4 linked regions of the Stegostoma tigrinum genome follow. The protein of the gene in region 4 purifies or fractionates together with the protein of the main gene of each other region. This does not show direct contact. Links are inferred from orthologs where the notes say so. Each region holds a gene or a part of one and is shown on either strand. Other genes may lie near its edges.

Region 1 (7,997 bases), on a different chromosome or scaffold from region 4:
ATGGCCTACTCCTCAACATAATTTGTGTTCATAAGTAAGAGCCTTGTCACTATAGCCAGTGAGACCCAATACCACTCCTGTTTTGTTCTTTTTACTTAGCTTTTAAACAGTTGGAATTTCCTCATTTATTCATTTTGGTGTAGGCTTGTTTTGCCCGCATCAACAATCATCGTGTGCTCATCCTCTCTATTACAATTTTAAATCTATCCCTGCTCTTCCTCCACTCACTAACAGCATTCTCAATAATAACCTCTGCTGATTTCAGCTTGTTCCTTGGACCAATGACAAACCTGCAGCTGTCCTGCTTCTTGTTGGCATTAATGTTTAACGGCATTCCGCTCATCGACTCCAAATGTTGCACTGCTTCTGTGACAGCGCCTTCTCTGCCCATCACGCGCATGAACCTGCTACAAACCACAGGTCTGTCTATCCTGAATCTGACTCTCCGTTCAAAAGGAAACCATTGCCTGGAGAATAAACAGAGATTTTACTCAACCGGTTTATATTGCTGGGAGAAGCATGGAGAAAGTATATGGTGTGGCTTCAGGGTGTTCAGAACCCCCTCTGCTGACCTTATGGTCTCTGCTCCATTGGAACACACTCATATTAGACTCTGGCAGTTGAAATTTTCCATTTCTGTACTATCTTTGTTACCCCATCCTACAAAGCAAATGCTTATCATCCTCAGCCCATGAACCCCGGCCTCCCAAGATGATTAACAGTGGATAGGGTACATGGCACAGAATCAGGCCAATTGATCAAACAGCAATGCCAATGTTTACAGCTCCACTCAAGCCTCCTCCTATACTTCACATCTAAATTCATTATCATAAGCATCTTTCTTCATAACAAGTATTCTATATTTATCTTCATGGTAGAAGACGGTGAAAGGATTCTTTTATTCATTCATAAGGCATGGGTATCACCAGCTAGGTTCACTGTTTATTGCCCATTCCAAGTTGCCTTGAGAAGGTGGTGAGCTGCCTTCCTGAGCCACTGCAGTCCTTATCCTGTAGGTAGACGCATAATATCATAAAGGAGGAAATTCAAAGGTTGAGGCCCAGCAACACTGAAGGAATGGCAATATATTTCCAAATCGGGACAGCAAATGGCCTGGAAGAGAACATGAGAAGACGTGTTCCCATGTATCTGCTGCTGTTCTCCTTCTAGATGGTAGTGGCTAAGGGTTTTGTAGGTGCTGTCCAAGGAGTCTTGGTGAACTTCTGAAGTGCATCTTGCAGACGGAGCACACTACTACTGAGCATTGGTGGTGAAGGGAGTGGAATTTTGCGAATGTGGTGCCAATCAAGCAAGCTGCTTTGCCGTAGATGGTGTCAAGCTTCTTGAGTTTGAGCTCCACTTATCCAGGCAAGTTGGGAGTATTCACACTCTGAACTTAACGCCTGGTAGATTGTGGATAGGCTTCAGAGAATAAAGAGGTAAGTTGCTCACTGTAAGATTCCTAGCCTCTGACCTGCTCTTGAAGGCACAATACTTACTTGATTAATCCAGTTCAGTTTCTGGACAATGTTAACACCCAGGAATTTGGTAGTGGGGTAGCCAGTGATGGCGACGTTATTGCATGTCAAGGAGCAATGGTTTGATTCTCTCTTGGTGGAAATGGTTACTGCCTGGCACTTATATATTATAAATGTTATTTGCTACGTTTCATCCCAAACCTGAGTCTTGCCCAGTTCTTGCTGCATCTGGTCATACACTGCATCAGTACTTGAGAAATCTCAAGTGGAGTTAAACGTTGTGCAATCACGGGCGGACATCCCCATTTTTGACCTTATGATGGAGAGAAGATCACTGGTGAAGCAGCTGAGGACAGCATCCCAGTAATAGCAGAAAATCACGGGGCAAGAGGGAGAGACTGAAAATAAACATTGTCACCGGGATAAGCAGGCTGAAGGCTAACCCGTCTCCAAGACCAAATGCCTGGGCATCCTAGGCCATTCAGCCCTTTGGGATTTGTCAGTGTGGTCTCAAAATATTCCCTGCTCATTGCTTTGCCAGGTCTGGGGGAGGCCTTTCAGCCCCTCTGTTCTATTCTGTCCGTGCTGCAGCTCCATCCAGCCACTTCCTTCCCCTGGCTCCAATGTCACGGTGTGCTCCGTGCTTTGCCTCAAGTTCAAACCCGTCAACGCAGATCGCTTAAACCTCCTCACCTCCTATAAACCTATCTCCCGGAGTGGGGTATGCAAACGCCTGGCCTTTCCTGCAGCCCAGGCCACGGCCCAAAACCCAGGCTCCCCTCCTGCCCCAGGCCCCAGACCCGAGGCCCGTCCTCCAGCCCCGGGGCTGTCTCCGTCTGCGGTGGAGGCTCGTCGCGGGGCCGGGGAGTGCGAGCCTCACGCACCAACCTGCCCCGATCACCGCGTCCCTGGTTCCGGTTCTTCTCCTGCCCCCTGGAGAAAGCGAAAGTGAAAGCCCCACGGCCTCGGCCGGGGACTGGGGCCCGAACCCCGTGCCCCCCCTCCTCCCGCTCCCTGGCCCCGACTCCCAGGCGGGGAGGGGTGGTGGGGGGGAAGCAGAGCCCTGGGACCGTGGTACTGTCCGGAGCTCAGGCACATTGTAATGACAGACCCCAGGACTGCATTCCATTTACCCCCCCCCCTCGTGTTCCCACACAAATCCCCCTCCCACATCCCTCATCTCCAGCCCCTCTATACCCCCTTCCCCCCCATCTCTCCTGTAAAGATCCCCGCCCCTCATATACCATCATCTCGCTTATATACCCCCAACCTTCCTGTATCCACATCTCCATTCCTCATATATCCTCATCTATCCCCATCCCTCATACACCATCATCATCATCCCCCCCATCCTTCCTACGTCCTGCATCCTCTCCCATAAACTCCATTCCCTCCTCCTCCTCCTCCCCCCTGTATGCTTCATCCCCTCCCCATACACTCTTCAACTACCATCACTCCAGAATCACTACATACCTGCACCACTCCACACACAGCACTCAGAGAGCTCAGCAGCTACTGTAACATAAAACAAAGCACTGCAGATCCTGGAGTTCTGATACAAAAATACAACTTGGTTCTGAAGAAGAGTCACCGGAATTGAAACATTAAACTCCGCGTTCTCCCACCGATGCTGCAAGAACTATGCTTCATCGGTTTTGTTTCAGGTACAGCAGCAAACTGGTTATGTTACTGGACAAATAATCCATAGAGCTGAGTGATGCTGTCTGGGAAGATGACTACTTAGCCTCCAAAAGAAATTCCTCCTCATCTTACTCGAAGTGGGAGACCCCTTATTTTTAATCTATGCCGCAGTTCTAGATTCCCTCCACGTAGATCCTTTTAGCATTTACCCTATCAGAGTCCCATCAGAATCTTACATTTCAAGATCACCTTTCATTCTTCTCAACTCTAAAGAGTACAGGTCCAACCCACTCCACCGTTCCTCATTAAAACTACCACAAACTAATGATTCTTTGAACAACCTTTAATGCAAATATTATTCCTTAAATGAGACCAAAATTGTACACACACAGTCATACAAGACTTTCCCACATTCCATTGGCCTTCTTAATTACTTGCTACAAATGCCTGCTATCATTGTATGATTTAAGGACACCTTGAGGCAATGGCTCACAAGGCTTCCCAATATTTCATCAGAGGTACTTGGACCTTATCCAATACTGGGCATCCAACAAGCAGAATGACAGCACAGTGGAAGCATCAAGAAAAAGTGATGCTGAGGCTTCTTGTTGTGGAACCTGAATTATCTGTTGATGATGTATTTGAGGAGCAGCAGGTAAATGAGAAAGAGAAGGCCAAGGATAAATCATGGGTGTGCACACCAGAGAAAATGTCACATGTGCTTTTCAATCAACATAAAAGCACATCTGGAACAAGCATAGGGCAGGCACCAGCTTCAGGAGAAAACTGGCAATGGGAGCTAAAACCAATGGTGAAAAAAGATTCAAAAGGAACACGGCAGAGCAGTGCTGATTCAATTAATTATTTTATTCTTTAAAGACATTTGCCTCTTGACTTGTGCACTGGTTACAGCTCACTGACTGGAAAGGTTTGAGTGCTTTTCATAATTTCAAAGCTCTTCAGTCTTCATTTACTAGTGATGTCCTCCATTTTTCTTGGGAGAAAATAATGCATATTCAACACCTAAAGCCACAACAAATGCTGCAAATCCCCATTTGAAGCCTCGAAAGAAGATATCGCTGAAGGTGATAGATTTACGAAAGCCTCCGCTGAACCGCCAGGCTTCATTGCTGTTAGGATACAAGACAAAGAAAATGGTTAAAAAGGATCAGACTTGAACTCTGTTGTTTCCTCTCTCAGTCAAAGATGTGCAGGCTAGATGGATTGGCCAACACATACCCAATGGCAGGCAATAAGATTGGGAGATGCACCTGGTCAGTCACAGGATGGAACAAAACTGGAGCTTCCACCATGGTAGTCCATAGCTCCAGACTGTAACATGTGAATGTGCACCTAACCACAGATTTTCTGACTCCTTTGGGAGTCGGTCTGCTCAGACAGCTGGATGGCCAGTGTGCTAGTGGCTTGAGGTTTGATTCCTGTTCTGATGGGCTGGAATCAGGACTTGCCTCCTTCCTCTACTCATGGCAGAGATTGGACATTGTGGGTCAAACCTGCCTTCGGGCAGAAACTTAAGAAAAACATCCTTTTAACATTTTGAATTCAATTAGATCACTTGTCACCAGATAAATTCAAACGAGCACAATCCACATTTACAAAACCTGTCCTCAAATTTTAACCTCTTTGTTCTAGTATCATAGTGCAGAGCAGATTCACCACAATCTGAAGGTCATATATCCTGCCTGTAGTGTAGTGTTCTGAAGTCTGAGTAAAACTTTCTACAGCATCTCATTTATGCTCTACAAAGTACTGACCACCTGCTTACTCATTCATGTCCTATTAATGCAGGTTGGCACCATGTCCTGCCCTTCCTTTGATTTTGCTTTCTATCTCCAGGGCCAGCAGCATGTAAGCCATTTTGTTGTGGTCACAGGTTTCAATATCCAGGGCAAGGTGATTATCAAATAACTGGACTTGCATATAGACCTGGCTCTGCCAAGAAGGGTCTAGGCCCAAAATGTCAGCCTTCCTGCTCCTCTGATGCTGCTTGGCCTGCTGTGTTAATCCAGCTCTACACCTAGTTATCACTAATCTGACAAGAATTGGTTCTTGGACCACTAGTGGTGAGACTTTAACATTCAATGATTTAGCTAGGTTGGCTTGTGTCTTTTCTGATTCTGGATTGTGACACTTCCACACCCTACCATAAAGGAGTAAAGATCCTGTGTATGTTTGTTAAGGGCAGTGGGGAGAGAGGTGGTAGTATAGTCTAATATCACTCAACTAGTAATCCACAGGCCAGACCAATGTTCAAAACTACTCTCGATAATAGTGACTGTAACAACTGTCATTGACTATAATTAAAAGCCCATGATTCACGGTTTTGGGGAAGGAAATCTGCCATGCTTACTTAGAATGGCCAACGTATGGCTCCAGTCCAATGGCACTGTAATTCATTCTTCTCTGAAATGGCCTAGCAAGCTACTCATTTCAAGGGAAATTAGGGATGAGGAACAAATGTTGACCTTGCCAGCAATGTCACAAGAAATATTTTTTTAAAAACTCCCAAACTTTTATAAACACACAGTTGTATGAAGTTTCAATGTTCATTCCCAATAGGCAGACACACAATAATAAATCCATCTCTGTGCCCACAGAATTTCAGAGTATCAGAGCCAAACCATTCCCGGGGGCTCTGCTGAGTTAGCTGATCCCAGCAAGTGTAGTGTTAGGAATAAAAAGTTGGCCAAACTGCTTCAGCTAGGAGAGGGAAAATCATTTGGGGGCTCCAACTGCTGATTACTGTTGTAGCAATGCTATGTTTGAAAGCTTAAACTTTGGGTGAGTTCACTGCTAATCTTGGGAACCACTTCCCAAATGATCAGTCAAGGGTGACCTGGGCAAGACACCAGAATACGAGGTTGTTGACTTGTTCACCGAGCTGGTGGCTTAGTTTGAAGATATTTCATCACCATAGTAGGTAACATCATCAGTGAACCTCCAAATCAGCATTGTTGGTCTGTCCCGCTTGTTATTTGTGAGATCTGGTCTGATGTGGCAGTTGGCTTCATATCCATTTCTGCTTCATAGTGATTGGTATATGGGGTCTACACACAGCTACCTACAACAACTACTGAAAAGAACAAAGGATCCCGTACCCACAACTAACAGGACCAATGTTATGTATAAAATTCCACGGAGGATTGCCACAAACATCAGACAGAGCAGGAGTAAAATAGCTATTAGGTACATGAGCACCAACTAGCTACCAAGAGACACAACCAACTATCATTCGTTTCCAGACACTCAGACAAAGACAACCACCAATTTGACTGGGACAACATAACCATCTTAGGAGAAGCCTACCAAAGATACACGCAGGATTTCCTAGAGATCTGGTACTCAGCCCGTAACTCCATCAATAAACATATGAAAATAGACCCCAATATACCAACCTGCTCTGCTCTATAGTAGAAATGAAGCCAACCACCCCATCAGACTGGACCACATAAATAACAAGCAGGCCAGACCAACAATGCTTCATCGGAGGCGCACTGATGATGTTACCTAGTATGGTGATGAAACATCTGCAAACCAACCTGCCCAGCTGGTGAACAAATCAACAACCTCATCCACAACCTGAGCTACAAGCCTTCTCAAAAACTTTAAACACAAGAATATGCTGGTGGAATCATTCACTGGGTATAAATTCAGTGTATCTGGTGAAAGGCAAAATGAAACACTCAGCTAGTTAGTACTTGCTGCTAGGAATAGAAATAGCAACTGCTTACAACAGCTCAGTAATCAGCACCTTGACTGACTGAAAATGTTCCAAACAAAATTTCAATTATTACAATCAGAACCTAGAAATGTGAATACCTGACAGGGCAAAACAACACCAGCTTGGCAGCCCATCCATTATAAACATTTACACTCTCCACTACTGAAGCACAGGAGCAGCACTGCAGCAACTCATCAAGATTCCCTCCGTAACAGTTTCCAAACCCACAATCTCTACCAACTACAGGGACGAGGACAGTGGATACATGGGAATACCACCATCTGCAAGCTCTCCTCCAAGTCATTCATCATTCTGACTTGGAACTATATTGCCATTCCCTCAGTATCATTGGATCAAAATCCTAGAAATCCCATCCTTACTGCACTAAGTACATCCCAAGTGTTGCATCAGTTAAATAAAACTGTTCCCCACCACCTTCTTCCAGGGCAATTAGAGAGGGACAGTAATTGTTGGCCTAGCCTGCAGCATCCATATACTGTAAAAGAATTCAAAAATGATTGAAAAGCAGAGAACACATGCTAAACTTAATTGGAATCTTGACCAGAACACACACACAAGATTACTGTACAGATTTCTGCTCTCCACATTATAAAGACTTAAATGCACTGGAGTGGATGAAAAAGGGATTTACAAATTGCTACCAAAAATGGGGGTAATAACCATCAGGAAGAGTCAAAGAAAGATTTTGCAAGATTTTCATTGATTAACTGTGGGGAAGACCCAAACTAAGAAACATAGTACAACTAAACAATCCAAAAGATAATTCATGAGAAACTTCTATACCAAGAGAGTCGTAAGAATGTGGAACAAAAATAGAAGTTGCTGGAAAAGCTCAGGAGGTCTGGCAGCATCTGTGAAGAAAAAGTCAGTGTTAATGTTTTGAGTCCGGTGACCCTTCCTCAGAACTGATGGAAGCTGGGAAAACTAGACTCAAGCCTGCTGAGCTTTTCCAACAACTTCTGTTTTTGTCCTTGGTTTACAGCATCTGCAGTTCTTCCTGTTTTTATTTGGTAAGAATGTGGAACCTGGTTTCAAAGGGAAAACAGGAGGTACTTAAGGGGAATTGTATCAGTGATACAGTATCTCTGATGAAGGGTCTAGGCCCGAAACGTCAG
Region 2 (7,382 bases), on a different chromosome or scaffold from region 4:
ACAATTCTTCAGCACTACAACTGGCAGGCAGTGAGTGCCCATACTCTGTCCTGTGTTGCCAGCATTAATGATCCGGAACAGAACAGCTTGCTAGGCTACTTCAGAAGGCAGTTGACAGTTGTCCATATTACTGTAGATCTGGATGGTAGATCTCTGAAGGATAAGTGAATCGTACCAGTTTTTACAAGAGTAATGATAAGTGTAAATTTCATGATTTAACTTGATGTTGGAGATTTATTAATTGAAATTTAATTTCCCTAGCTGCCATGGTGGGATTCGAACCCACGTCACCAGAGCACTTAGATTAGTCCAGTGGCATCATTGTCATTTTACCCCCTACTATCTGTGAATTAAAAATATTGGCTTCTTCTGTTTGAAAGGAAAGCTTTTCGCTTTCTCATACACCAGCAGGATGTAATAGCAACCATTGTTTTACAGCACATTTGTCTAATAGGATTAGCCAATGCCATTTTGGGCATTACACTATTAGTCATCATTAAATTAATCTTCTGATTATTTTTAAACTTCAGGAGCTCCATTTCTACCAAAAGTATAAGCTTACACTGGATTTTGTTTTCAGCCAGAGTTACAGTGCTCCTAGTTGAGTTTGAACTCCGCATTCTGAGAGTGTGCATTTACATTCAGCCAAGTGGTATATTCTCCTTTAGTCTCTGGCAGTTTTGAGCTGTTATTTGTCAAAATTTATGAGCTGAGTGGACAACTTTTGAAAGCTTTAATCAGTAAAGTTCCTTGCATGTTTAAAAACGAAGTTATGCAGGGTGCTATGGCGGGGGGGTGTGGGAGTGAATGTGATTACATTTCTGTTGTAGCTTCTGTTTTGTAAACCTCAAACTGCGTTAAGCTGAAAGAATTTTTTCTGCTGCTAAATTTTGTTTAAAATGTTGAATTTTGAACATTTCCCATCTCACCAGTGTTTGTTTTTACATTTAGCAACTGGAATAATTACATTTTCTAACATCTAAGAGACGGAAGGACAATACCTAATCAAAGTTCCCTGCAGTGTGGAAGTAGGCCGTTCAGCCCACTGAGTCAACAACTGCCCTCCAAGGAGCATCCCATGCAGACTTAACCCCCTACCCTATCCCTGTAACCCTGCATTTTCCATGGCTAATCTACCTATCTTACACATCCCTAGACACCACGGGCAATTTCCCAACACCATATCACGTAACCTGCACATCTTTTGGACTTTAGGAGGAAACCCGTGCAGATATGGGGAGAACATGCAAACCATTGAGCCACTGTGCCACCGCAAACTTCTACTTTGATTTTTTTTCAAAACGAAACATAGGCAAATGAATCCAATTTTGAAAACACACATTTTAGGAAAATGAATGTGATGGAAGATGAAGGAAATAAATTATGGTTAAGGGCACTTCTGGACCCACCACTCATACTTGCAGAGTGTCGGGGCTGGATGAAGCATTAAAGATGTGGTGAAGGGCTGGAGACAGGAGTTGATTAGATTCTGCACAGAAGCAGCAGTGGAAGGATAGAAAATACCAGAAAGAGTTAGGCCTGGATCAAGATGGAAGGGAAGTAGGAATACTCTAAGGAAAAGGATGTCATTGACAGTCAGATTCTCATGCTCATTGCCAGTGATCCCATTAACATTTCATAGGCACTTTACCTCCCAGGATGCCCTGGTCAACTCCTCTGCTCCCAGCACCTCCCCACCTTACCATGTAATCTTAATCCCTTCTCATACCAACCAATATCTCTCATCTCAATGTTCAGATTAAAATTAGTGTGGGACAGATAAAGAAACAAATAGAACTGCCTACTGAGAAAAATACCGTATTACTGAAGCTATGTCTTGGACTCAACAGGTCAAATGTAGGAACGACAATTTCAAACTGTCAAACAACTTACAGTATAAATAAAAGGAATTGGAATAAGGAGTGATTTAAAAAAAAGGAAGAAACGGCAATATGGAGTTAACTGGTAAGATCTGACGTCAAAGGAATCGTTAGGGACCCATCTTGGAACCTCAACACCAATTCAAATTTCAACTTAGTTCATAAAGGTGACTGCATACAAGTCAAAAGTTTTATTTATTTGGCTTTAAAAGACTGGAGATTGATGCAGATAATTTGAGCATACATTAAATTGTAAGTGTTTTCATTCTGCAATAGTCTTGATATTAAATTAACATACGTATCCTTGTTCCAATCTTGTACTCTCTTTCCCAATTCTTCAATTTATTTGTTTGGAACAGTTGCCTGTTCATTCAAAGTCCCAAAGTTTGACTTCCCCTGCTGCTCTATTCTCAGACTGTACCTTCAGCAAGTGGTCATGCTAAACATTTCATAAGATAAATGTGCAAGGTTCATGCCTAACAAATTGCAGCCATCATTAGGTGCTCTGCTACAGTAAAAACTGGGTGCTTATACCTTTACTTAAAGAGTAGAACCTGTTATCATGTGGAGTGGTTGTAATAAATAGCACAGATGCATTTAAGGGGAAACTAGAGAAACACAAAGAATAGAAGAACATGCTGATTGGGTGAGATTAAATAAGAAAGGAGCAGGCTCATGTGGAGCATAAATATTGGCCAGATGGGCAAAACAGATTGTTTCTGTGCTATAACATTCTCTGTAATTAATCTTCATTTTAGCACTTTATGCCTTCTGTACTTCTGTTATGTCTTGCTATCTAGAAAGATTCCATGATGTGTTTATCCATTGTTAAATGCAAGACAGCATGAAATTTTCCAACAATTGCTGAAATCACTCCCGAATCATACACTTTTACATTGTGAGTTTCCTCTTTTGCTGCTATTGAAAACTATGGTAACCACGCTGTAATAATTTCTAGCTTAGACTATTCCAACACTGTCCTGGCCAGTCTCACATCTCACACCCTCTACAAACTGTTGCTCATCCAGTAACACTAAGTCTTGTTCAATCAGTGGCTCCCAGGTCCAGTGACACCTTGATTGTAAAATTCACATTCTACATTGTTCAAATCTTTCCAATGCCTTAATCATGTGAATTGCTATGGCAGCCTCCAGCCCTACAAATCTCTGGGTTCTTCGCACTCTGTCAGTTCTGGCTTTTTGGAATTGCACCAAGTTTATTTTTGCCACCAGTGCCCGTTGTAGCTCCAGTTGGCCTGCAAACTCTGGAAAGCCCCCCCCCCGAGTCAGCTCTTTAAAGCCTACTTTGGCCAAGTTCTCCAGTTATCTGACGTATGAGACCACATGAAACAGGAACAGGAGTAGGCCATTCGATCTCTCAAGCCACCTCTGCCAGTCAATAAGATCGTCGCTGATCCAACATTCCTCATTTCCCTGCACTTCTTTCCCCCCAGCCCCCATTACTCTTGTTCCCCTACTGATTACGGATCTATCTTAGCCATAAATACACAACACGACTCTACCCCCACAGCTAACAAAGTGTGGAGCTGGATGAACACAGCAGGCCAAGCAGCATCTCAGGAGCACAAAAGCTGACGTTTCGGGAAGGGTCTAGGCCGGAAATGTCAGCTTTTGTGCTCCTGAGATGCTGCTTGGCCTGCTGTGTTCATCCAGCTCCACACTTTGTCATCTTGGATTCTCCAGCATCTGCAGTTCCCATTATCACTGTTACAATTCTACCCCCACAGCTCTCTGGCAAGGGGTTCCAAAAGACTCATAACCCACAGAAGAAATTCCTCCTCACCTCAGCCTGAAATTGGTGTCCCCTTAATTCTGAGACTATGCACTCCGGTCTTAGACACCCCCCACGAGGGGAAAACACACTCCCAGCTTTTACTAGCCCTTTTAGAGTCCGACGTGTTTCACTGAGATCACCTCTCATTCTTCTAAACTCCAATGAGTCCCCAGCATTGTTCTGTCTTCTGCGGCTGGGACTTTGACGGTACTCTCGTGAGGATCGTCGGATGTTTTATGTTAATCGTACTGTCGATTAAAAACGTTATTATTTTACAGCCAACAAACCTGTCTGTCCCTTTCAGGCTTCAATCAAGATCGTAGTCAAAACTAGACACCTTGCTAGGGCTGCATTTTTGAAATCGAACAAAAGAAATTTTATGTCAATAATACTGACATGCTCGGTATTTTCCACTGGTTGTAATTTTCCCCCCGATCGGTACGGCTGCAAGGCGACTGGGACTAGTAATTCACGATAAACGAGGTCGATAAACAGGTAAATACATAGTGGAACACATGGAGCCCGCAAAAGAATTAAATACAAGTTTTTTAAAAAAATGTTCAGTTAGGTCAAACTAAAAACCTCAAGATTGGTTTTGAAAATCTAAAAATTAGGTTTCCTAGTCTTGTTTTAAACCCACAGCTTGTGGCTGCCGCGGGGGGGGTCAAAGTCTCCCTTGTAAAGTGACTGGCTTCTGTGTGTGTGCCAGATCTAGTAATGCAATCCCAAACTCGCCTGGAGTTATTTTAAAACTAGTCAACTCAGCCACTTTGGAAAACAAGGGGAGGGTTAAAAAAAATGTTGGGAAAGTGGGACGTACCGCGACTTGGGAGAGCGATGCATTTCCTAAAAGGCATTTCCGAGCAAATGGCTTTTGAGTGAATTGAGGGATTGAAGGGGTTTACCAAAGTAAACGCAGTGATTTTCACTGTTGGGGTGTGACTGTGGGTTACCAAGTCCCGCAGTCAACCTTTTACTGTCTGTCTGTCTCTCTCTCTCTTTTCTTGCCGGATGTCACTGCCAGTGCTGTTGCCCACTTCTTGCTGCCCAGTGCAAGCCACCACACCGAGCGGGGAGGCACCGCTTCGGAACCGGGCTCGGTGTGTGTCATGGCCCGGAGCGCTACACTCCAGCAGCAGCAGCAGCAGCAATACGAGCCCGGCACGCCAGCCGCTGCACTGCCCGCTCTACGGCCGCTCCCTCTTCGCTCTGGGACTACTCCAGATCGCTCTGGGTTTCTCCATCGTGTCTCTCAGTTTCGGGGCTCTGTCCCTCACCGAGTCCCCCAACGTCAGGAACTCTTGTCCCTTCTGGGCCGGCTCCTCGGTGAGTTTAGCAACAAAACTTTCTCCATAAGTATGACACTGAATTAACTCGACTATGCCCAAGCAGTTCCCAGGTTGTTGTACTCAGACTATTGCATTTACCAAATCGGTTGATTTTTTTGGGGGGGGGGGGGGGGGTGGGGCGGAGTCCGGTTCGAAGAGCCGCAGGTTTGCATTTATATAGCGCTTTTCGTGGTCTCAGACCACTCCAAAGTTGCTTCTGAAGAGTCGTCAATGTGGCAATGTAAAACAGCCAATTGGAGCCCTATTCCCTCAAACACCAACGTGATAATGACCAGTTATTTTACTTTTTTTTGTGATGGTAACTTTTATAGAGTTTTTTTAAAATACAGATGGGCCGAACGACCTGTTTTGTGTTGTGAATTCCACGCAACTGTTGAGTTCTGACCTCACGTCCCTTTTGCTGTCCGGCCTTCTTTCTCAGTTTCTTTGACTCGTTCTCTTCTAAATTTGAATCTTACAACACAGAAGGAGGCTATTTGGCCCTTAGTGTCTGTGCTGGATCTTTAAAGGTGTTATCCAATTAGGCGCATTCTCATTATTCTCTCCCTGGAGCCCTGCAATTTATTATATCATTTGTTTTATTTTGCTTCTCATTCCTTTGGTTTTAAACAATATTCTATGCAGACATTATCCTCACCTAACAATTTACATTTACATGTGCAAATTAAAGTTATGCAGTTTTAATGCAATTGTGATGTATCTTTCTGAAGTTGCTGCTCCTGTAACATTTTAGCAGTTGCTACTTAGAGTGTTCATCTGTGAAATTCGTGATGGATCTTTTTAAAAACAGACATGGTGAACCAGCAGTTTTAACATTTCTAAATTTTAAAATCCCACTGAAGTTGTGAAGTATTGGATAGCATTGTGGGGATCTTGTACTCGTGACACCGTGTGTCTTATAGAAGAGGATGCATGTAATATTCACGCATTGTCAAAGAATAAAGAATAGCAGGAACTTGTGTGGGATGATAGCAGAATTTCTGGAAATGTATGGCATATTGCTCAGCATCTAAAAGAATGAGCTGTGCCTCACAAGGTAGCATTCCTGCCTCTGAGTCAGAAGGTTGTCCGTTTGAGGCCCACTATGTAAACAATTAAAAAATACAAGCTGACACTTGGAATACAATGCTAAGGGAGGGCTGCACTGTCAACTGTGCTGTTTTCCGTCCCAGGTGGATCTGAGATCCCCGGGACTAATTTTGAAGAACTAAAGAACTTTCCTTAGAATCATGACAAACATGATGTCCTTCAGTCACAGATTAATTGTCATGCTGTCTGTGGAAGTTAGGTAGAAGTGACTATGGAATGCTTTGAGTTGTCTCAAGGTTGTGAACGGTGCACGATAAATGCAAGATTTTTTTCTCTCTTTTTCTCTTCAACAACTTTCCACAATTCCACAAAGGAATATTTACAGCCAAGGCAATCCTGTTTGAAGTGTAGTCACTGTTGTAATGTCAGAAACACTACAGCCAATTTGAGCACAGTGAAAATGCATGAAGGGCAAAGTGATAACTACTAGATGAATTGCTTTGGTAATGTTGATTTGAAGGATAACTATTAGATACCAGGAAGAAATTCCCTGCCCTTTTGAAATAGTGCCATGCAGTCTTTTACACTGAATGAAGAGGATTCACAGGGTGACAGTTTAACATCTCATTCGGTGGAAGGTGTAATCATTTAGGTAGTGCACCCTTAGTAGTTTTTTTAAATTCACTTGTGGGACACGGGCATCACTGGCCAACCAGAATTTTATTGCCCATCCTTAGTTGCTCTTCAGAAAGTGGTGGTGCGCTGCCTTCTTGAACCTCTGCAGTCCACGTGATGTGGGTTGACCCACAATGCTATCAAGGAGGGAACTCCAGGATGTTGACCCAGCGACAGTGAAGGAACAGAGATGTATTTCCAAGTCAGGATGGTGAGTGGCTTAGAGGGGAACATGCATTTGGTGGTTTCCCGTGTATCTGTTGCCCTTGTGATTCTGGATGGAAATGGTTATGGATTTGGAAAGTTCTGTTTGAGGATCTTTGTGAATTTTTACAATGCGTCATGTGGATAGTACAGACTGCTGCTACTGAGCATTGGTGGTAGAGGAAAAAGATACTTGTGGATGTGATGCCGGTGAAGTGGGCAGCTTTGTCCTGGATGGTGTCAAGCTTTTTTTTAAATTGATGTTGGAGCTGCACGCATCCAGGCAAGTGAAGCAGTGTTTCATCGTACTCCTGTGCTTTGTGGATAGCAGCCAGGCTTTGGGGGGAGGTTGGGAATTGAGTTACTTGTTGTAGTGCTCCTAGCCTCAGACGTTCTCTTGTAGCCACTGTGTTTATGTAATGAGTTCAATTGAGTCCCTAGTCAATGGTAA
Region 3 (7,307 bases), on a different chromosome or scaffold from region 4:
AACCTTCTTCTCTCTAATGAAAACAGCCTCAAGTCCCTCAGCCTTTCCTCATAAGACCTTCCCTCCATACCAGGCAACATCCTAGTAAATCTCCTCTGCACCATTTCCAAAGCTTCCACATCCTTCTTATAATGCGGTGACCAGAACTGCACGCAATACTCCAAGTGCGGCCACACCAGGGTTTTGTACAGCTTCACCGTAACCTCTTGGTTCCGGAACTCGATCCCTCTATTAATAAAAGTTAAAACATTGTATGCCTTCTCAACAGCCCTGTCAACCTGGGTGGCAATTTTCAAGGATCTTTGTACACGGACACCAAGATCTCTCTGCACATCTACACTGCTAAGAATCTTACCATTTGCCCTGTACTTTGCCTTCCGGTTACTCCTACCGAAGTGCATCACCTCACACTTGTCTGCATTAAACTCCATTTGCCACCTCTCAGCCCAGCTCTGCAGCTTATCTATGTCTCTCTGCAACCTACAGCATCCTTCGTCACTATCCACAACTCCACCGACCTTAGTGTCATCTGCAAATTTACTAACCCATCCTTCTACGCCCTCATCCAGGTCATTTATAAAAATGACAAACAGCAGTGGACCCAACACTGACCCTTGCGGTACACCACTAATAACTGGACTCCAGGATGAACATTTCCCATCAACTACCACCCTCTGTCTTCTTTCAACAAGCCAATTTCCGACCCGGTGTGGATGTGTTGGACCAAAGGGCCTGTTTCCACACTGTTGGGAAACTAAGAATACTCGAGCTGTGGACTTGAACTGAAGCCTTATTTGCAGAGTTAAAGAGCAAAATAATATCATCAGCACTACATTACTTGAACTCAAATGCCTCAGAAACTGGGCAGATGAGAGAACCGTTAGCTCTCCATTGCAGGTGTAAGCCTGGTCATCAGGTGTGACATCCTCTCAATGTTGTTGTACGTGGCACAGATCTGGCCTATTCCCCAAGCCTGCATCGCTGCAGTGACCTAAGCCGCCATATACCTCATTTGGAGGTCTAAGATTGATCGAGTCCAAAGGGACACCGTGTATTAAATGTGTTGGGGTTGGGGGCGGGTTAAGAATGAATGCCACCCTCATCCTGATGGCCACCTTTCTGTGTGTCTATATCAAGCTGCGCTTAGACCCTCAGTACGCAGATATTTTGTGTCACTACGTTCTGAGATTTTACCTGTCCATAGTGTCACGAAGGATGGGTCAGGCCTCGTCACCACAGCACACTCCAAGTAGTTGGACCATCCCATATGACCTGTCCCTCATGGATAAATTTGTGAAAGAAAACACCTTTGACCACAAGTCCACCAGGAAGTGGTCAGCACATAGAATCCTCAAGACACTTCAGGAAAAGGAGATAGTTGATCTTGTCGGGTAGTTCCTTGAGCAGACTGTCAAAGCCTTTTGGAAGAATTCCTCATTGCCAGAACTTTTCAACAAGCATCAAGACAACAGCTTGGCTGGTGGAGAGAAGGGCACTAGCTGCAAGATCTTTCATGCACGGACAAATCCTCTCAAAGCGGTTCCAAGAGGATTGAGGCTATCTCCCATCTCCTTCTGGAATGTGGCTATGCAGAGGAAGTCTGGAGAGAGATGCAGAGGTTTTTGACGAGGCTAGTCCCAAGCAGCTCCATGACGCAGGACTCTGTACAGGATGTACACCAAGACAAACATCGACCATGCCTGGAAGACCATCAACTCAGTGAAAGACACCCTGTGATCTGCCCAAAATTTGCTGGTCTTCCAGTGCAAACTGTTAACCCTGACCGAGTGTTGCAGCCGCATATTCCAAGGTCCAGGACTATGTGCTGAAGGATGCACTAAAGCTTGGGACAGCTGCCACCAAGGTGCAGTAGGGAATGACCACCACAGTTTCTGCCAAAATACAACAGGGGCCCGTTGAGTTATTGGACACTCCTGATGCCTCAAATACATGTCAGTAGTTCCAACTACTTTCCATAATTAAGAAATGCCTTTGGATTAGTTGTACCTAATATGAAAAATCAAACTCCGATGTTTATTTTCTTCTCCATACGCAAAAACTTTAGTGATCAGAACTACTTCTGTAACTGTGTATGTACATAAAGATTTATTTTTCTTAGTGAATAAAGTACATCTTTGCAAAAGAAAACCCTACAATGTTAAATGCTGCTAATCCTATTTGTTCCATGATGTGGACTGGGGTGGACAAGGTCAGAAGCCACACGACACCAGGTTGGAGTCCAACAATATGCATCGGGGCTTAGATTAAGATATTGTAGCATTCTTCCATACACATAGACAGGCTTACAAATTAGATGAACATCTAGTTTACAAAGAACCGTGTAGTTTTTGTTGCACCATGCTCATTTGAAAGTCAAAACCTGGGTAAGAATTTGAATTTTGCTTGTGTTGTTCTTGGTGGCCGCGGTGGGGCAAACTCAAGAAAAACAGGGGAGACAGTAGAATGGGAGATGGTGCTGAATTCAACACAGCCCGCTGTGCTTTAAAATGAGCTGAAGCTCACTCAGGATGGTGAATGGCAAAGATCAGTGTTTTAGCATCAGACTGGGCGAAGCAGGAGCGGAGATTTACAACGTTAGACGTGAAGTAGTGAAACAAAGGTTCATTTTACATGTTACTTCACCATTTAATTTGGAAATTAGAGAAGAGGCATGTAATCGTATAATACGTTTGCAACACAGATACGCTGTCATCATTTATATTGCGAGTTAATAATTTTCTCTCCACATGCAATTTAATTGAAGCCTGTTCTTTGTTAGGTGTCCGGCCAACAGAGGAGTAATTCCCTGCCAAACGTTAGCTATATTTCTAAATAGTTTTACGAAGCAATTCACCCTTTCTCGAAAAATAAATGACTTACTGTTGAAATATTCTGCAAACCTTTCCGTGCTCCCCCCTCTTTCACCACCATTTCCAAACTCAACGTGACGAGGGAGGGGAAAATAAAAAAAACCTTTCTCCAGCGTCTTTCACCTGCCGGCCCCGCTCGTTGTTTCTACGCTTGCGCTTGGTGGAAAATAAAACCAAGGTGCAGCTTGGGAAGTGTAGTCGTTTGGTTCCCATGGATTAACCCGTTTCCCTGCCAGGATCAGCTCGCCTGGACTTCAACTTCCAATGGGCTTCGCACGACGCCTGCAGAGGCACTTCGGCTGGCTACGCGGCGCGAGAGAGGCGGGGGTGCCCCCGATGCAAACAGGTGACATTGTGGAGTATGTTTCACCTACCTTTAAAAATGAACTGAGAATCAAATAACGTCCTTGTTTCACGCGTTAAATAAACGCATATGAATTTAAAACCCATTCGAAAAAAGCAAAACAATGTTCATTGCTCAAGATCCGAAACAAAAAGAGTGTGGGGTTGGGGGTCTGGCAGCATCTGTGGAGGGAGAAACAGAGTTAATCCTTGGACTCCAATGTGAACTTCGTTCAGAAGTCGTTTTGGACTATAATTATCTCCGTACATGCTGAGTTTTTCCAGCACATGTTTTATTTCGGCTTGATCCAAATAAAATCATAATTCAACAACACAATCCACCTGTAAATCGTTTAGATTTGTTCAAACAAGTTGAAGAAACAAGTTTTTTTTAAATTCCTAAAGTGTCACCTCTGAAGTCAATTTTTCTCGTCCATGCTTGGTCGCTCTCGTAGTTGCTACTGGGAGCTTAAGTATATAACTGTATTCTGTGTAATGAAGATAATCCTTCTATATAATTAGACAGTGCATTCCAGGATTTTGACTTAAAAATGAAGGAACATTTGAGGGTGAGGCGGAACTAGAGGAGAATTGTTTCACCTGCTTCCCTGGCCTCTCCCAGTTGTAAAGCAGGTGGTTTAGGAAGTCTTGCCATAACATTTCAGATGAATGATTGGTGTGCATACTGTGGGTAATACACAACATAGTCAATGACGTAGAAGATTGATATTTAAGTTAGAGGATGATGCTCTGATCAAATAGACTAGCCTGTGCTTAGCAGTGAATTACTAGAATATTAATACAGATACACTACACCGTGCTTAGCAGTAAATTACTAGAATATTAATACAGATACACTACACCCCAAATAGGGAACCTGATTTGTGCACTGCAAATGGTTGAGAATGATGTGAGCTATTCACTGCAAAATACACGGCTTCAAGATGCTTATGTGGCTGGTCTGGTTAAGGTTTTGGACAATGATGGCCTGGAGGATGTTGATTCAGTCAGAGCAATGCTGTTGAATAAAACCTTAAATATCAAAGAGAGATAATTGCACAATTTGCTGTTGGAATTAGTCAATACCTGCATTGGTGGGGTATGTTTTGCCAACAGCAGGGTATCCTTACCTGATACAGTAATAGTTGTGTCATCCTTCACAACATAAGAAACTAGTACACAGAAAATGTGGCATTGAAAGATCCAGTGGACATTCATTATAACTCTTTGGTTACAATGAGCAGCATGCTTCCATCAGAGTCTCATACTTTAAGTAGTCCAAGTTAAGACAATAGACAATAGGTGCTAGAGTAGGCCATTCAGCCCTTTCAGCCAGCACCACCATTCATTATCATCATGGCTGATCATCCACAATCAGTATCCTGTTCCTGCCTCATCCCTCCTGCCTTTGATTCCACTATCTTTAAGAGGTCTATCCATCTCTTTCTTGAAAGTATCCAGAGAGTTGGCCTCCACTGCCTTCTGGGGCAGAGCATTCCATATATCCACCACTCTCTGGGTGAAGAAGTTTTTCCTCAGCTCTGTTCTAAATGGCCTACCCCTTATTTTTAAACTGTGCCCTCTGGTTCTGATAGAGTCCAAGAAGTTTACACCCTCAGTTCACATACTATGAGACAGTGATGAATCAAGATCGTTTCCCTTATCAGGTATGCTGACATGCTACCCGTGAACCTAATGCAACATCTTTTTCAAAGATAAAAAGTGATCTCAAAAAGAAATACAAGGTTGTACATAAACAGGTTTGTCAATTAGGTAATTACATGAACAGGTATAAACAGAGTTTACAAAATTAACAATTCAGAGTTCAATATAAAGCTTTGGAGGTTTGACAACTTGCGCCGATCTGGTGATCGTATACCCATGTGGAGAGGTACATGTTTTATTTGTACTCTGTTTTATTTGGTTGTAATTTTCCTGGTTACTGTTACTCAATATTGCTGCACAATCATCATCATCATCACAGTATTCTTCCTCATTCTCATCATACACGATTGGTGTGTTGTACATTGTTCGAGCTGGCACATATTCTTTCTCAAAGTAGCACCACGAGCCGTAATGACTTCACATGATCTGGGCCAGTTGCACGATTGAAACTATTGCTATATTCAAGTATATGTATTTCTAAGTCATTCTCTGTCCACTGTGTAATTGTGGTATTTCTCTACTTGTTCACTCATCATTTATCTCTTTCATTCTCCTCTGTCTTTGAAGAAAAATATTGTTGTCATGGAATGATTAGACAATTGGGTACTTGGCAAAGTTACATGGTACTTGCCTTCCAAGCATATGCTGTGGTGGGGTTGGTGATGGCTTCGCCATTGATGCTGTATGAAGATGCACCAACAAAATGTGAAAAACTTGTTTCCATACTTGATCATTGATTTGGCAGGAAGTACTACACACACTGCTGGACCATTTAAATGTGAGGTGATTACGTGATGTGGTCATTCCCCACTTCATACATGCCAGTGAACTGCAGCCCATTGTCAGATGCTATCCATTCTGGAACACTGAATAAATAAAAGTAAGTCATTATATCAGCAACTGTTACATTTAGCATGTTGCTAAGTCATCAAAGAATGGAATATTTACATAAGTAATCTGTCATCATGAGGGTACAACCTTCCCCATGCACTGTGAACACGCCTGTGGTTTACAGACCTGGGGTAGTTCCTACCCTCCTCAATGGCACTTCAAGGCACTGGAGCAATACCACCAACACTGCTTGCAAAAGATCCTGCAAATCTGCTGGAAAGAATCAGCATTCTCAAACAGGCCAACATCTTGACACTGACCACCCTTGATCAGCTATGATGTGCTGGATATCAACATGAGCAACAAGAGACAAACAGGTGCTCTATTCCCAACTTCAAGAATGGCAGGCGAACCCCAGGTGGACAAAGGAAATGCTTCAGTGATACCCTCAAGGCCTCACTGGTGAAGTGCAGCATTCCCACAGACACCTAGGAAATACTGGCCCAAGAACATCTAAAGTAGAAGAGCATCTGGGAAGATGTCAAGCACCTGGAGACTTGCTGTCAGGTAAAAATGGAAGTCAGGCAAAAACAGTGAAAGGAGCGCACTACCACACCAATGCCCCACCCACTCCTTCCCATGAACACCACCTGCCCTAAGCATAAGGGAACCTACAGTAGCTGCATTGGTCCATTTAGTCACCTACAGACTCAACCAAGAGTGGAAGAGAGTCATCCTCATCTGCGATAGACTGCCAATGATGAATACATCTGTAAACTGACAATTAGCAATAGAGTGTTTTCAATATGGCAATGTTCCAACCAGAGTGTATTTGCCAGCCACTCAGAACTCTCCTCTTATGCAGTATAAATATTAATTTGTACATGAATCTGCATTCTTGCAAAATGTCCTGATAAGTGGAAGAAAACTTCAGCAAAACATCTTTTTTCAGCAATGTTCAAATTCAAATTACCAAACAACTATTTGTACTACGTACTTGTCTAATTGATCATTTAGGACAGATTATTCTTGCAGAATATGCCAAGTGCAAAACTAGGCTAAACGTTTGTACATTTTTCTCTTCTGACAGAACAGTGAACTGGCTGCTCGTTTTTGGTGGATGATGATCAATTTAGCAGATCACTTCAAGCTACAGCTATATCTGTTTCTGGGGCACAGGTAACCTCACAACATTGATTAGAAAAAGAACGGACTCGAACTACTTTTAACCATTAAAGGTGGGCCTGGAGAGAATTTTTCCAATTATTTTCCCCTTCAATTAGCAGTGGTTTGTTTTTGGTTCTGAAAAGAGTTTTTTCTACTTCTCCCAAGAAATCATATAGCTTCAGTGGGGTTGAGGTGTACATGTGTTGTGCTGCATTAACCATTATACTTAAATGGATCTCATCTTTTGTTGCCCATCAATTCTCATTTTTGTAAATAAAGCAAGCTGGGTTCAGGTGTTTGTGGAAATTAATCATATAATCAGGATTTTGTTGTCCTTCTTACCCAATTGAGCCATGGAATTTTTATAGCACAGAAAGAGGTCTTCTGGCCCATCAAGTCCAAGCCAGTCATCAAGCATCTAATTTTAATCCC
Region 4 (7,961 bases):
CAAAACAAAACACTATTTATCTGAGATAATGGGAACTGCAGATGCTGGAGAATCAGAGATAACAAAGTGTGGAGCTGGATGAACACAGCAGGCCAAGCAGCATCTTTGGAGCACACAACGTTTTGGGCTAGAGCCTTCACAGAAAAGGGGGATGGGGAGAGGATTCTGAAATAAATAGGGAGACAGGGGGAGGCAGATTGAAGATGGACAGAGGAGAAGATAGTTGGAGAGGAGAGTAAAACTGCTTGTTGTCCAAACATGAAGGTGTTACCGTCCTCCCTCCAGACAAACCTCAGGGGATCTCTTTTCCACCACAACTCTCTTGTAATCTCTTTGGCCTTGAAACTGCTTGACCATGTCCTGAAGCCACTGCCTCCACCTTCATGTTTGGACATCAAGCAGTTTTACTCTCCTCTCCATGTTCGATCTGCCTCCCCCTCTCTCCATCCCCCTTTTCTGATGAAAGGTCTAGGCCCAAAATGTCAGCTTTTGTGCTCTTAAGACACTGCTTGGCCTGCTGTGTTCATCCAGCTCCACACTTTATTTATCTTGTGTGTTATTTGGGTCCTTTCAAATTGACTGCCACATCTGTCTACAAACCAGTAATTATGTTGCAAAAGGTACTTATTGGCTATAAAGCATTTTGAAACAACGCGAGGATGAGACATACTATATAAGTACTGGGTTTCGCTTTCCTACTGTAAAGCATAACTAAATAACAAAAGCAAAGCTAACGCACAAATGCAGGCTGACCTCGAAACACTGGCCTAAAGCAGAAACAGTAACCTTGCATAATGCTGGTTCATTTGTGAAAGGTCAGATTTTCTTCAATTTTGCTTTCAGTAAAGTGAAGATATACATTAAAAGGTCAACCAAACCTGCACGATAGCATCAGTTTACTGTGTCAACGTGTAGTTATTTAGTTCTTTTATAGTTAAACATCATACAGTGCCTCATGATCAGATAAATAATTGATATTAACTAATTGCAACCGGAGTGGAATGTAAAAGTCAGGAGATTTTGCTAGAGCTGTACAGAATATCGATTTGACCACACTTCAACTACTGTGTACAGCTTTGGACTCCAACCTTAAGAAGAGACATACTTGTGTCGGATGTAGTTCAGGGAAGAAACACTAGGCTGATTTGGGGATCAAACAATTTGCCCTGTGAGGAACAGTTGAGCACATATTCATAGATATTTAGAAAAATGAGAAGTAATCTTGTTGGAATTTACAAGATTCTGAAGGGATTTGACAGGGTTGATGTTGAGAGGATGTTTCCCCTCATCAATAAAATCCTGAACTAGGAGCATCATTTAAAAATAAACAAACAATCTTCCATTTCAGACAAGGAAAGGCATTTCTTCTCTGAGGGAGTTCAGATTTTGGAATTCTCTTCCACAGAGATTGTATCATATAGCCAACATTACACAACATGGAAACAGACCATTTGGTCTAAATCAACCAGATATCCAAAACTGAGCTAGTCCTATTTGCCCTGTATCCTGCTAAACCTTTCTTATCCATGCACCCCTCCTGGCCTTTTAAGTGTTGTAATTGCACCAGCCTCCATCGCTTCCTCTGGCAGCTCATTCCATACACACACCACCTTCTGTGTGAAAAGGATGCTGCTTAAATCCCTTCAAGTGTTGCCCATCTCATTTTACAACTCTGCCCTCTAGTTTTGGATTTTCCTACCCCAGGGAAAAGATCTTGGCTATTCACCTTATCCGCGCCTCTCATGATTTTAAAGACCTCTATAAAGGTCACCCCTCAGCCTCCGACATTCCAGGAAAAATGCCACAGTCTTTGCAGCCTTTGCCTATAGCTCAAACCCTCTAATCCTGGCAACATCCTTGTAATTGGGGATAAGGTAGGAACAGGATACTGATTGTGGATGATCAGCCATGATCATAATCAAAGGTGGTACTGGCTCAAAGGGCCGAATAGCCTACTCCTGCACCTATTATCTAAATCTTTTCTGAACATTTTCAAATTTCACAACATCTTTCCCACAGAGGCGGGGGGGGACTAGAATTGATCATCATTGAATATTCTGAAGGTTGAGTTACACTGATCAATAAGGAAGTTAGGATTTACTGTGTCAGGCAGAAAAGGGGGGGGGGGGTGAAGGCCATAATCAGATCAATCACAATCTTGCCAATAGGCGAATTGGCCGGGCAACCTCCTGCTCCTTGTCTTATGACGTTACAGTAAAGCAGTTGGATTAGTACCAAAAAAAATTCTCCACCACCTAAGAGCATTCCACCAATCTCAAGACAGACTTATAAACAGTACGTCAGAGCAGTCAAAGCGCAGAAAGCACCGATCTTTGAACACTAACCTCTCCAATGGAACTAGGGAGGACTTGAAACAACTATCATCATAGTGTCCTAGAATCTGGGGAGGTGGGGGCAGGGGCAAGTGGACCGAGTAGAACTACAAACCGACCTTTAAACCTGGCACGAAGACTAGTTCAGGGGCTGGGTGTTAGAAATGCCCGTCCTTCCAAGAGAAGGGAGACCTAAAGTTTCCTCGCTCTGAAACTTTCCCACATTTGGGTGTCCACAATGCAATTTAAATTAAAGAACAAGGACTCGTCTCGACGCAAGTCCGTGGTCACTCCAGCTTTTTAAATAGGCAGTGAAGCGGCCTACCTCAACAGACAGACGGGGAGAAACCAGTGGGTGAAACCAGAGCAGGCCGAGTGAGCGAGACAGACTGCTCTCCCACGACATTAGGCGACCCCATCCCCCTCTCTCCATCCGCCGCAACCCCCCCCAAAACCAAAGACCCCAGCCTGGGAGCAGTTCCCAACCGCCACTTTCCTTACCCCCGCCACATAAACGTTCGAACGAGAACGGGAAACCGAAAAAGTTTTCTTACTGGAGGAGCCGGCCCGGATAACAGCCAGACCCGCTTCAGAAAGACAACCGCGGGCTCTTCTTCAACGCTCCCACCTTCGCCAACGCCGCCGCCATCTTGCAGCGCCTGCTCACGTGATGGACTCTGCCTCCACCCCCACAGGGTCATCCAGGCTCCGCCCTCTTGACCCGCTCTCATTGGCCGCCGACGTCATGGAAACCGCCTGTCTTTGCCGGTGCGCGTCGATTGGTCCGCGCGGACGTCAATCATCCCCGGCGATGTTGCCAAGGTGGGCAGAGGGCGCACGTGGACCAGTTCCCTGTTATGGTTCTGAAGACCCGCAGGTTCTTCCATTACTTCGATGGGAGCGCCTGTACAAACATAGCAGAAGCAAATTACTGCAGATGCTGGAATCTGTACTGAAAACAACACATACTGGAAATGACAGCGGGTCAGATAGTATAACTGAGTGTGGAGCTGGATGAGCACAATATCCTTGGAGAGAGAGCAAGTTAACGTTACAAGTCTGGATGACTCTTCATCAGAACTGAAGACTTGCCCTGTCTTCGTGGCTACTATCTGACCCGCTGTGATCGCCAGCACTTGTTGTTTTCAGTAAACTGTCATAGCATACTGCTGCACCTTCCCAATTATTTTTAAAACTGTACGAATTCCAAATCCAGGGAGGCAACGGCATTATCGCTAGACTATTCACCCAGAAACCAAGATAATTTATACAAACCCAGGTGCGAATCCTGCCATGGCAGGTGGTGGAATTTGAAATCAAAAAAATGTCTGGATTTTAGAGTCGAATGCTGACCGTGAAACCATGGCCAATTTTTAGGAAAAACCAATCTAATTCACTAACGTCCTTTAGAGAAGGAAGCTGCCATCTTCATCTGGTCTGGACTGCGTATGATTTCAGACCCACAGCAACGTGGTCGATACTTAACTGTCCTCCAGGCAATAGGGGATGAGCTATAAATGCTGACCTGGCCAACAGCACCTCTATTCTGTGACTGGATAGAAAAATTCTCAACATCATTTCAAGTGGGTTGGACCACAGGGATAGGAAGATCTTACTGTAACTCTACAAGGTGCTGGTGAGACCACCCCAGAGAATCATGAGCAGGTTTGGCCCCCTTATTTAATGAAAAATATAACTTCTTTGGAGGACGTTCAGACAAGGTTCAGTAGGGTCATCCCTTGTCTTGCGAGCCTGGCCTTCCGGTCTTCTTGTGAATATAGGAGATATGGGTTGGAAGTTCACAGATGACACCAAAATTGGAGGTGTAGTGGACAGCAAAAACAGTTATCTCAGAGTATAATGTTACTTTGATCAGATTGGCCAATGGGCTAAGGAGTGGCAGATGGAGTCTAATTTAGATAAAATGTGAGGTTTTCTAGTTTGGTAAGGTAAATCCAGCAGGACTTATACACTTAATGGTAGCGTCCTGGGGAGTGTTCCCGAGCGAAGAGACCTTGGAGTGTAGGTTCGTAGATCCTAGCAAGTGGAATCGCAGGTAGATGGGGTAGTGTAATGATTCTGTCACTTTAAAAAGGTTATTTGTCCTGGGTTTTTTTGAAGAAAGGCTGTAATGGCAGAGGTACTAAAGGGGCTATGGAGATGGCTTAAGCCAATAACTTAGGAGGCTAGGTTTTTGGAAACAGTTGTAACAATGAAACGGGAGTGGCTAGTTCACACAGATCAGACTTCTGGGTTTTCTTAGCTTTGGCGGTCAGAAGCCGTTTGGTTCCCATAAGAGTTGGGGCTTCAGTAAAGCTGTTACTTTCTCGGAAATCTCTCTTGATGTTGTTTCCTCCTGGATTGCAGAATTGCACGTACAAATCTGTGTCGGAATTTAGCTTTTTGCCAAGGGGCGTGTTTATGGGATGTTACTACATTTGAACAGTTAATTAGTAATAGGTATGGTACCTTTATTCAGTTAAGGTTCCCAATAATTAAGTTATTCTAAATTCATCTTTCTTTTGTTTGCATTTTTAACTGCAATGTTTAAAAATTATGTTTTGCTTAACATCATGCAGTTTGACCAGTTGCATCACATCTGGAACGTGCACTTCACATCTAACTTTAAAATAAGAAAAAGGTTAGGGTCAAGGCTACCTTCTTAAAATATTTTGAGGGGGTCTGGTCTGGTCCATTAGCAGTAATGAAGGCGGCATTGGTACAGTGATAATGGGAACTGCAGATGCTGGAGAATCCAAGATAACAAAGTGTGGAGCTGGATGAACACAGCAGGCCAAGCAGCATCTCAGGAGCACAAAAGCTTTTGTACTCCTGAGATGCTGCTTGGCCTGCTGTGTTCATCCAGCTCCACACTTTGTTATCAAGGCATTGGTACAGTTGCCTTTATTGGTCAGTGGGCCAAATATAGAAGTTAGGAGGTCATGTTGTGGCTGAACAGGATTTTTGTTAGGCCATTATTGGAATACCGTGTTTAATGCTGATCTTCCTACAATGGCAAAGATGTTGTGAAACTTGTAAATCCTTTTTGTACCCTTTCAAGGACAATGCCAGGTTTGGAGAGTTTGAACTACAGGGAGAAGCTGAATAGGCTCTGGAGCATTGGAGGCTGAGGGGTGACTTTGCAGAGGTTTATAAAATCATGAGGGGCACGGATAGGGTGAACAGTCAAGGTCCTTTCCAAAACCACAGGGCATGGTTTTAAGGTGAGAGGGGAAAGATTTAAAGAGGATCTAAGGGGCAGCCTTTTCATGCAGAGGGTGGTGTTTGTATGGAATGTGCTGACAGAGGAGGTGGTAATTGCTGGTATAATTGCAGCATTTAAAAGGCATCTCGATTGGTACATGAGCAGGAAGGGTTTAGACGGATATGGGCCAAATGCTGGCAAATGGGACTAGATTAATTTAGGATATCTGGTCAGCATAGATGAGTTGGACCAACGGCTTTGCTTCCCTGGCATATATCTCTTTAGTCTTTGTCATAGACTTATACAGGTTGGGACTCTACTCACTGGAGTCTAGAAGAATGAGAGATGATCTCTTTGAAACATAGATTCTTAAAGGGCTTGACGGAGTAAAATATTCCCCTCTAGGACAACAGGGTATAGAGTCAGAATAAAGGAGTGCCATTTTAAGACTGAAATGAGAAGGAATTTCTTCTGTCACAGGATTGAGAGTCTTTGGAGCTCCTTGCCACAAAGAACTATAGGGGCAGAATCCTTGTGCATACGTAAGGCTGAGATCAATCAATCATCTTATCTGTGGAGGAACCATGGGTTATGGGAAAAGGCCAGGAAAGTGGATGTGGTCCTGTTGAATGGTGGAGCAGGCTGAAGGGGTCGAACAGCCTACTCCTGTTCCTATTTTTAATGGTCTTATTTCAAAGCAGTTACAACACAGACAGCATGCAGCCTATGCTGTTTTGCTTATTTAAATTCAGATGTGTTATGACACACCTGTGGAACAGGCGGGCCTTGAACCCTTGAATTCTCTTAGTGGTAAGGGCACTACCACTGTACATACAAAATCCCCACTCTGCTGGCCTTTGCTGGTGTTTATGTCCTACACAACCTTCCTCCTAGCCTTATCTTCAAACACCCTTATATTACTTAATACACAGAAATCACTTCAGATGCTAGAAATATGGAATGAAAACAGACAGAAGATCGAGCAGCACGTGTGGGGGAGAGAAACAGTTAAATGTTTCAAATCCAATAGGACTGACTCTTCACAGCTGGCTTCAGAAAAGCTTCTATTTGTTGTTGCCTCAAGTTTAGCTATTTGCTCAAATGTATCTATGCTCTGCCAAACAATCCCATATTCTTACTAACATTCCCACTAAGCAGTTGTGCAGTGTCCAAGGGTCCATATACACCGATTGGCATGCCAACAGTACAATAATTCATTCCCCTCCAGTTTCTCCACCCATGGTCGCATACAGATCTTGTAGGCCCAGGCAGCAGCAGAACAAATTACAGGGAACATAGATTCTTGCCCAAATCAACAGGTTTCTCCTGAATATCCTTCTGCACATATTTGTGTCCATCTTATATTTATGGCCACTTCTTCTTGATATCCGCGGTATGTTCTGTGCATCCCTCCATTTGGCCAAATGGGTACATTCCATTGTTAAATGATGCATCCTGCAAAGGGTTCATATTTTCATAGAATCCCTACGGTGTGGAAACAGGCCATTTGGCCCCACAACCACCCCTCCACAGAGCATCCCACCCAGACCCATTCTCCTAGCCCTGCATTTCCCATGGCCTACCCATCCAAACTAAACATTCCTGGGCACTATGGGCAATTTAGCATTGCAAATCCACCAACCCTGCACATCTTTGGACTGTGGGAGGAAACCAGAGCACACGGAGGAAACCCACACAGACACAGAGAGAATGTGCAAACTTCACACAGACAGTTGTCCAAGGCTGGAATCGAACCCAGGTCCCTGGGGCTGTGAGGCAGCAGTGCTAACCACAGGCTGCGTCAGAGAGATGATTCTGAGTAGAATTTTGTCCTAAGCCCGATAGTACAATGGTAGAATATTAAAAAAAAAACAAGATAATCTTACCGAGAGCTTAGCATCAACAGTCTCTGTAGACCCTGGCACAGGACACTACCTCTTGTAAGATCTGTTATCATGGTAACAGACGGTGAAAATTGGTAAACGACCCTCCAGCAGGTGAAAGGCAGTGGGAAACAGCAATGAAGCCAAAACTCAGAAGGAATAGGAAAGATCAGTGAGAAGAAGCAGAAGAAAAAGAATGATGTGCTGCTAAGATGCTGCTTGGCCTGCTGTGTTCATCCAGCTCCATACTTTGTTATCTTATGATTTGAAAGCAGTTTATGTAGAGTGATTAAGCACACAGGACAGCACAAGAAGCAACTCCAGCAAAAAGAAGCAATAGAATTCACACTTACTGGTCACAAAATCTTTCAAGAATATCATAAGCCCAAAATAAGTCGAAGAAGTAGCAAAACTCTTGTAAACATTTCACCATGTACAGGAGCAGTCCAGGGCTAGCAGCTAAGGAAAACCAGTTCTCTATGCAATCAGCAGCATACAGACAACTTTTCAGTGAGACAATGTAGAAATGAAGGAAGTGTC

Evidence for each region.
Region 1: the proteins of E3 ubiquitin-protein ligase Itchy-like (region 4) and cflara purify together in Homo sapiens (affinity purification with western blotting; 8 studies listed by BioGRID). This does not show direct contact. The link is inferred for Stegostoma tigrinum from reciprocal best matches to the Homo sapiens genes ITCH and CFLAR.
Region 2: the proteins of E3 ubiquitin-protein ligase Itchy-like (region 4) and fam189a2 purify together in Homo sapiens (co-immunoprecipitation; 3 studies listed by BioGRID and IntAct, counting the BioPlex papers as one, with this or other methods). This does not show direct contact. The link is inferred for Stegostoma tigrinum from reciprocal best matches to the Homo sapiens genes ITCH and ENTREP1.
Region 3: the proteins of E3 ubiquitin-protein ligase Itchy-like (region 4) and amot purify together in Homo sapiens (affinity purification with western blotting; 3 studies listed by BioGRID). This does not show direct contact. The link is inferred for Stegostoma tigrinum from reciprocal best matches to the Homo sapiens genes ITCH and AMOT.

What each region holds. Positions count from the first base shown.
Region 1 is NC_081360.1:19,688,862-19,696,858, forward strand, and holds the start of cflara (CASP8 and FADD-like apoptosis regulator a), read right to left. Parts: upstream 3,001-7,997; 5' UTR 2,952-3,000; intron 2,577-2,951; exon of another isoform or gene 2,172-2,576; intron 468-2,171; exon of another isoform or gene 291-467; intron 1-290. Other genes in the region: ndufb3 (NADH dehydrogenase [ubiquinone] 1 beta subcomplex subunit 3), read right to left, coding at 4,093-4,249. UniProt on the Homo sapiens protein: Apoptosis regulator protein which may function as a crucial link between cell survival and cell death pathways in mammalian cells. Acts as an inhibitor of TNFRSF6 mediated apoptosis.
Region 2 is NC_081356.1:28,054,690-28,062,071, forward strand, and holds the start of fam189a2 (endosomal transmembrane epsin interactor 1), read left to right. Parts: upstream 1-4,382; 5' UTR 4,383-4,685; coding exon 4,686-5,000; intron 5,001-7,382. UniProt on the Homo sapiens protein: Functions as an activator of the E3 ubiquitin protein ligase ITCH in the ubiquitination of the CXCL12-activated CXCR4 receptor. Thereby, triggers CXCR4 endocytosis and desensitization, negatively regulating the CXCL12/CXCR4 signaling pathway.
Region 3 is NC_081368.1:25,793,440-25,800,746, forward strand, and holds the start of amot (angiomotin), read right to left. Parts: upstream 3,001-7,307; 5' UTR 2,881-3,000; intron 1-2,880.
Region 4 is NC_081372.1:11,186,650-11,194,610, reverse strand, and holds the start of E3 ubiquitin-protein ligase Itchy-like, read right to left. Parts: upstream 3,002-7,961; 5' UTR 2,888-3,001; intron 1-2,887. UniProt on the Homo sapiens protein: Acts as an Acts as an E3 ubiquitin-protein ligase which accepts ubiquitin from an E2 ubiquitin-conjugating enzyme in the form of a thioester and then directly transfers the ubiquitin to targeted substrates.